2 linked regions of the Oryzias latipes genome follow. The protein of the gene in region 2 purifies or fractionates together with the protein of the main gene of each other region. This does not show direct contact. Links are inferred from orthologs where the notes say so. Each region holds a gene or a part of one and is shown on either strand. Other genes may lie near its edges.

The links.
Region 1: the proteins of gatad1 (region 2) and hdac2 purify together in Homo sapiens (affinity purification with mass spectrometry; 4 studies listed by BioGRID and IntAct, with this or other methods). This does not show direct contact. The link is inferred for Oryzias latipes from reciprocal best matches to the Homo sapiens genes GATAD1 and HDAC2.

What each region holds. Positions count from the first base shown.
Region 1 is NC_019882.2:21,614,247-21,618,257, reverse strand, and holds the start of hdac2 (histone deacetylase 2), read right to left. Parts: upstream 2,817-4,011; 5' UTR 2,697-2,816; coding exon 2,642-2,696; intron 443-2,641; coding exon 330-442; intron 153-329; coding exon 35-152; intron 1-34. UniProt on the Homo sapiens protein: Histone deacetylase that catalyzes the deacetylation of lysine residues on the N-terminal part of the core histones (H2A, H2B, H3 and H4).
Region 2 is NC_019869.2:23,121,619-23,125,761, forward strand, and holds gatad1 (GATA zinc finger domain-containing protein 1), read right to left. Parts: upstream 2,679-4,143; 5' UTR 2,582-2,678; coding exon 2,501-2,581; exon of another isoform or gene 2,408-2,500; coding exon of another isoform or gene 2,342-2,407; coding exon 2,228-2,341; intron 2,149-2,227; coding exon 2,026-2,148; intron 1,952-2,025; coding exon 1,892-1,951; intron 1,044-1,891; coding exon 860-1,043; intron 783-859; coding exon 592-782; 3' UTR 508-591; downstream 1-507. UniProt on the Homo sapiens protein: Component of some chromatin complex recruited to chromatin sites methylated 'Lys-4' of histone H3 (H3K4me), with a preference for trimethylated form (H3K4me3).

The sequences.
Region 1 (4,011 bases), on a different chromosome or scaffold from region 2:
TAAGTTTGTCTGAACGTCAACAGAGCCCACTCACAGCGCTGCATCTGCTTGCTGAACTCGGACATGTTGTCTGGCCGTATGGATCTGAGGAACTTGATGTAGTCGTCACTGTGGTATTTGGTCATCTCGTCTGCGGTGGCTTTGTGTGGCCTCTGAAACCAGGAGAAAGGTGGAAGGGAAGAAACCAGAACTGAATGAAAGCAGGAGCGAACACAGAACTAAGAGCAAACCGCCAAGCTAAATCGACGTTTCCTAATGTCTGAAGTCTGCTGAGGATCAGGTCACATGGAGACACGCTCCTCACAGCAACAGAGCACAGGAAAACATACATAGATCTCCATTTTTCTGTAGAGGCCATAGTTCAGGAGGAGGTTGTGAGTCATGCGGATCCGATGTGGCTTCATGGGGTGTCCTTGTCCATAATAGTAGTTTCCAACATCACCTAGACACAAGAAAAACACAAAATCAATGATGCAGATTGCCAACATTAGCTCCACCAGCTTTTCTGATTCAACTGTTGGCATCTGTGTTGTTCCAACAGAGAACATGAGCAGCAAACGACAGAGGAAGACAACTCAGAGCACTGATCTGTGGAACAACCGAAGCTTCAGAACGATGACTCACATCCTCACCGTTATTTATTACTGCTCAGTAAACAAACCAGGAACAGTTTACAGCAGACAGAAAACGGGACTGATCCCTGTCCAACAAACTGGACCCTCCCAACCAAAATGTACTCTGACATCTCATAATGTCAGTTTATTCTTTACATTATGATTTCAGTCAGATTATTAAAATATGAAACCGCTCTAAACAAGTGCCAGTTCTAATGGGCTGAACTTTTATGACACTTATGTTCACGAAGATCTACATCTGCATCAGTAATCTAGTCATTTCAAAGTGATGTGCACGTCATTAGTGCACGTGGGACTGCTCTAAGCTAAATGTGACCGCAGAAAAAGGTGAAGTGAATTGCTTAAATGAACATGGTGTTTTTAACACGTTCTGGCAGCATTATTCTGAATATGAAGAAAATTAAACAGAAAATTGAATTTCCGAGTATTTCTTTGTTCAAACTGTTGTGAGTCAGGAGCGGATAAAAAATATGCAGTTGGGAATAGCTATAAGCAAGCCCCAAGCTCCCTGTTCTGTTCCACTCTAAAGGCCTGTTCACACCGGGACGAATTTCGCCGGCGATTTTCGCCGACGTTTAACGCCTCGTGACTAAACAAAGGGCACCAACGAGAGTGTGCACATCGACGCGAAAAAACGCCAGGCGTTAAAGCGTCCAAAAAAAAACGCCTCGGGTTCGTTTTTTTTTTCCGACGAAATCTACTCGACCAATGAGAACGGCGCTTTTGCTCACGTGTCTGGAGCTTCTGAAGTTACAGTAAAACACAACTTGGGGGCGCTCAAACACAAAACTGCCTTGCTGAGCACACATACCAGCGAAGAAGATAGACGCCAAGTAGCGTCTACACAGCCGCGAAGCAATAATGACGGACATTCTAAAACATCCCCGAACCAAGCACCAGTTGGAGCTACTGGTGCTTGAAATATTCATGTTTTCTTTGTTTGATTCTGACAAGCGTGTAAAAACTTGCTCTCTTCTTCTGAGTGAAAAGCGACTTTAAGAAGCGTAAAGTTGCGCAGCGCCACCTTGTGTACAGGAGTATTTCAGTTTTACATTAAGCGCCATCTAATGTCAGGGAATGAAATTGCATGTTCACTCCACTCATCGTCAGCGAAAATCGCCTGGGTGTGAACACAAAAAACGTGGCGAAAAACGCTGGCGAATAACGCCTGGCGAATATTCGTCCCGGTGTGTACGGGCCTTAAGGCATCCACCTGCAGACTAATGGATCCATGAACGTCTTTGTTTTCCTCGTCTGAGCTGGAATCGGGATAGATCTGATATTGGCCATCTTTTTTGTTGCACTGCTAATGTGAGGATGGGGTTGTGAGGGGCTGTAAGCTAGTGGTAGAGTAGAGTGTAAACGGGGGGGGGGGGGGGGGGTGCTCTGCATCAACAGTCCCACCCACAACTCAGAGGTTAATGCTCTGCAGAAACTATGTCCCAGAAAACAACACAGGTTTTTGATTTAAAAAAAAATAATAACTTAAAGCGATCGGACACGCTTGTGTTTGGACCTGAACGCAGGTTTAGAGCCACCCGGGGCTTCTGCAGACGGTCACGTGACGTGTAGGTGAGCCAGGCCGCGCGTGCTCGTCTGGAAGCAGTAGAGGCTGCCAGTCGTGTGTTCTGTGGATGGTTGCATTGTGGGACGGCAACCTCGTTAAAGACGTTAAAAGCTTTTCTCCTCATACGTTCCCGGATGTGGGTTCTCCTCGGTGGGATCTTGAAAGATCACAACAGAACGCCGGCTGAACTGCCTGGGTCTCAAACAAGACTGACGTACGTAGCCGTAACTCACACAACGAGGGGTGGAGACAGACGTGAGGCGCCGGCTACTTAACGTACAGTGCCCCCCTCAGATGTTGGCTTTACACCGTTTCAATGAAGCAGAAAAGACTTTAGCCCCGGAGAAATGAGTTCCGACCGTAACTGACCGATGCTAGCACATGCTCGATGCTAACAGCTAGCGTTAGCCTGGCTCGTGCGCCACACAGCAGCTCTTACCGTCGTAGTAGTAGCAGACCTTCTTCTTAGTTCCACCTGCAACCGTGTACGCCATGCTACAAGCTCCTTTAGCTCCACAGGTGAGGCTCAATTCGCGTTAACAGAAAGACAAGAGCTGGATGGAGAACATCTGCACGGCGTCGCTGAGTGGGAGGGGCTACGTGGGCTGGGCGGGGCAAGGTTGGGCTCCGCCCCTGCGCCCCACTTTAAGTTTCTTTGTCCTTGTTCTTTTGTTTTGCGTCTTTGGGGCAGGGCATCAACACATGATATGTGGATTGCCAGTTCTGTCTGTGGTAGTCTAGCCATGCCACCAGGAGATCATTTTAGTACAAGACTCTGCAACCTTCTACCCCAGTTTGAGCCTCTTCCTTCTGACAGACTCAGAGTCGCACAGCCCCACTTCACACTCAATTCATGCTTCAGGCACGTGAAAATCTCCTTTATCTGGACTTTGCTTTGCACTGTTGAACCTTATTTAAATTTGTTCTTCACCTCTGCTTCTTCAACTCCTCCCTCAAAGCCACAAAGCCCTTTTTTTTTTACTTACACCACTTGGTCCTCTGCTCTGGCCTTGTCCTCGTCTATGGAGTGATTTATGTGTCCCATTATTCCAAGCGTACTTGAAATACTTGAAATATTTTGTGTGCTCAAAAATATTTTGCACTTGAAACATAAAAATGCACTTGAGACTCAAAAATAAGTGCAAACAAAACAGTTTTACTCTTGAAACCTAAAAATATGTCCAATCAAAACAATTCTCTATGTGTCACAAAAGCCAGTTAATCACAGACATGGGCATAAAGTTTGATGCCGATTGGTCAGAAATTCTTCCAATCGCACACAGACCTGATCCAGTCTACGAGCCGTCTAAAGTCTACAGTTTTTGGGTTTTCTGGCCCGTCAAGAGTCGTAGAGAGGAGTGGCTGCTCCTTAAGATGTCTTGTAGTTCCCTTGAGGCTTGCACAACCACCTTAAAGGTTATTGTTTTGCATTTCGTAAGTACATGGTGAAGTATTTGTTAGGATAATGGAAGTTACAAACTGATGAGGTATGGGTGTTCTTGCTCAGGGGGGCGGAAAAAATGAAAAATCAACATGAAATGCCTGTGTCTTACATACTTCACCTGTGCCTGCCGTTGTGTGTTGTTAAAGTACCTGACGACCTGCCGCCCGCACCAGCCCGTAGAAAAACTGAGCATGAACATTCACTGAGTGGTCTACAATCTTGAAATTTCGTGCGGGCCGCCTGCTTGTCTCATACAGATTTGGCCCTTTTTCATCTGCAGACAGCCCGTGCCCACCCCTAAGAGCAGTTGGGACTAAGGCTTTAGCTTTCTCTTCTCAGCATCTACAGTCAAACTGGAGATTATT
Region 2 (4,143 bases):
AATTTGACAGAACTTATTTTTTTGCAAATTCCGTATGTGGAAACCTCACTAACTGAAAATGTCAGCTAATAAAAAAAAAAAATTCTAAATAATTTAGCTTTAGTCTTCTTTACAGCTATTTCACACCGATAGGGCAACATTTTGTTTTACTGTGCAGATTTTATTGTTTATAAGTTAACATTTTTTATTAAAAGATATGCAACAATGTTGGCATCTTAAAGCTCAGAAGTAGCTCAGGAGCCGTGGCTCATGACCTTAGTGTTATCAGAACTATGAAAAAATATTAGACATGTTTCCTAAAAGGCTCAGAAATTTTATAAAAAGGTTTTTTTTGAGTGAAAATAAAAGCTAGAAACCATAAAAGCCCAAAAGTGCTGATAAAGTCAAAAACCTCCCTGTGAGGGGGAGGGTCTACTTTCCTCCTGCAACTTAGAAAATCAAGAAATTTCAAATAGTCTTTTTGTTATTTTGTTATGTTTTTAAAGAATTAAAGTCGTGAGATGAGAAATGAAAAACAAAAGTTGGTTTTATTTACAAATACAAACATGTACATACTCTGCATAATTACAATTATTTTACCAATACTGTTTGTTAACTGGTGGTGCTGATAGACTCTTTGACAGTGAATGCTGGTGAAGGTCCTATATGGGTCCAAATGTAGCCTTTTTCAGGACATATGGGGATAGTGGGAAACGGGGAGCTCTGGGACTTGAAATACTCAGAGGGTGCATGGCACACAAACTCAAGGTACTCCATCTTTCTGGGCAGATCTTCCTCTGGACCTGGAAAACAACACATGATGCTTAACCCAAGACCAGAAAATCACTTAAGAAATATGTTATTCTGTAGGAGTTCTCACCGACAATGTAAGTCCCAGGATCAAACCTGTCCTTTGGGCTGGCCTGGGTGGGAATGAGCCACGTTAGTGCTGCACTTTTTTCGCAGTACTGGTCCTGCACAAATCCTCGAATCTGAGCATAGTAGGGCTTCCCGTCATCCTCATCTATCACCTTGATCACATCACCTGTCTGGTAGTAAACCCCCTGTATTTGTGAAGAGATGTTAAAAGAAACAAAAACATAGACAGTAGTCGGCATGCAACCTTCAACGCTAAAAGTGCCATTTGGGTCGATTTCTCACTGAACCCAACAGAATCCACAAAATCTCACTTCACCCTTAAAAATATTTATTGATGTCATTATTATTATTATGATAAATATAAATGAACTGTTGCTTTTTTGGGCAGAAATCAAACAAACAAAGATAAAATAGCCTTTTTAAAACAAATGAAACAGTTTAAACTTTTGACAGAAGTTCACATGAATTCCTTTCAAAATAAAAGACAGCCGGTGTCATATAGAATCATCTCAATGCAATAAGGGTATTGGCGTATTGTTAGCAGTGATAAAAAACAAAACAAAAACAACACATTATTTTATCGCTTGTGGTGAATCTCAGCCATAAATGTGTAAATCCTAACCAACCATAATTAAATCAGAGCTAATTAAGTGAACCTTACCATATTTTTCAAACGTAAACAAATTTAAAATCATTCAATTTGTTCAAAAATCCTCCCTAATTGTGCTTACTGACCTCCAATTGATTTTCTGCAGTACACTGCGCTAAAAAAAACTGTCAAAAATGTTTTTGATATGTACTGTCCTTCAACTGTTTGTGGATGAGTTGAATAAAGTTTGTGTAAGTTTACTTTCCTACTTATTTATAATTATTTTTTACATTACAGTTATATTTTAAAATCACAACGTTATTTTTCTTTAATCAGAGAGCCACAGTGGAGGGGTAAAAGAGCAACCTGTGGCCCCGGAGCCACAGGTTGCAGACCAACAGTATAACACGGACAAACAAATGATTGGAATAATAATCACAATACCTTATAAAATACAGATTCTGAAGTGACGATCGTTGCTACAGATTCAGGAGCTTTGATTGGCTGTGGGGAAGAGTTTACAGGTTAAAATAAAAGATGACAGGAAGAATGATTTTTGGTTATTTTTTTTAACTGACATTTTTTAGTTTGAAAATATGTCTCCTTCCTTTTCCTTTTGTTGACACTTTCTTCTCAGAAGCAGGAGCTTTGTATTTGGTACTTCTCAGCCGCGCAGACCTCCGGTGTATCTCCTGCTTGGACTACAAAGAAACAGACGTGGTTTGATGCTGAGCAAAGGAGAAGTTGCTGGGAGTTTGAGTCCTCCTTTGACTGACTGACCTGCTTCCCTCCGCCATTACTGGGCTGAGCGCTGAATGACATGGAAGGTCCTGCCGCCGTGGCGCTGCTGCTCTTCCCCGTGCAGTTATTGCACAGGATCTCCCCTTGGCTTCCCTTTTTCCACATGGAGGAAGAGTTCGTCTTACACGCAGCACAACACGGTTTCAAACCAAGCGGCATTTTTTTTTTTTTCAGGAAAACGACGCCGACGTAGTACGAAGGAAACTAGAGGAAGATGCTCGATTCACCCTAAAAATGCTAACAACTACTCACTAATCTTTGTTCAGCAGATGTCACAAAATGTCTGGTCTTCCGAGAGATCAATTGCAAACATTTGTCCAAAATAACTGCCATCCATTGTAGCAATTAAACGTAGTCGCTCAACTATTGTTTTTACCGGATATTAGCTTCGCTCTTTGTCTGCAATTTAGGTTCGGTCGGTTAACCGTCTAATTTTTGCGCTACCGCCACCTAGTGGACACGTGTGAAGCACAGTCCGATTTGTCTAACTTTTTAGTTATAGTGCTTGTGAAACTGAATAAAAACTGCATTTTAAAAACTATTTTTCGTCCAAAATAAAAATTTACAAGTAGATTTAATTTATGCTGCAAACATTTTACAGAGCTTTGATTAACTTAAATCCAGTTTTTCCACAATTTGCTGTCTAGTAGGGGTGTAACGATTTACTTTTACAAAAATGTAATTCATGACATTTTTAGTTGCTGCAGTGATCCGATTCACTGACCTAAAATGGATCCAGGAAAGCTAAAACTTGTACCAGTGTCACTCAGAGAGAAATACCTGGGTACCGGACAGTGCAAATGAAGTTTTCCAGGTTCCTTGAATTTCTTGCAAGCTAATAGAGTGTAAATAAATTTGTGTGCAAACAAACAAGTAAACAAGAATTTATGAAAAATCCATTCACATTTTAGTTTTCTAAAGTTTAGCCCACTTTTGTTTTTTCCAAATTAAAATAATACAAAGGGACTATTATTATAACATTCTACCATACTGTATGGTCACATGTCTTTGCTAAATTTATAAGTGTTTCCATACAATAGACTGGAATGACTGACTGATCAGTTTTTGCTGACATCATATCTAGCTTTTACTAGATAGATAGATAGATAGATAGATAGATAGATAGATAGATAGATAGATAGATAGATAGATAGATAGATAGATAGATAGATAGATAGATAGATAGATAGATAGATAGATAGATAGATAGATAGATAGATAGATAGATAGATAGATAGATAGATAGATAACTTTATTAATCCAACAATGGGGAAATTTCATTTATCTGTGGCAGCAAAAACGACATTCAGAAATAATCTATATAATATAACATCAAAAAAGGACATCACAAATGACATTCATATTAAATAGTTAAAATTATTATTACAATTATTAGGAAAATTATTATCAAAAATGAGATTCTTATTAAATAAATAAATATTAAATAAATACAGCTGCAAAAGTGTATAAAACATGTGGTCTGCAAAACATGTAATCAACTGTAAAAAACATGTAAAAACTTTTTTTTTTTTTTTTTCAAAATACAGAAATAAGTAATGAAGTTCACACCAAAAACAAAGAACTGTTCAGGAACAAAAACAATTGAAAATTGAAAAACAACAACTACAACAAAAGAAAATGAATAAATTAAGAAAATAAATAAAGTGAAATAATTACATATCGATTTATTGCGTTTTAAAATGATTTAATAATAGTATTGGCCGATTTGATTGACAACTTTCTATGTAACAGATTACGGGCTGTGACAAAATGAGGAAAGAAGTTTATATTGTTGGAAGGAACCGATAATGGGAAAACATCCTCTTAAACAAAAAGCAGAAGAGGGCAAGAACAACATAGCAAATAACAGCACTATAAACAAGTAAAAATTATAT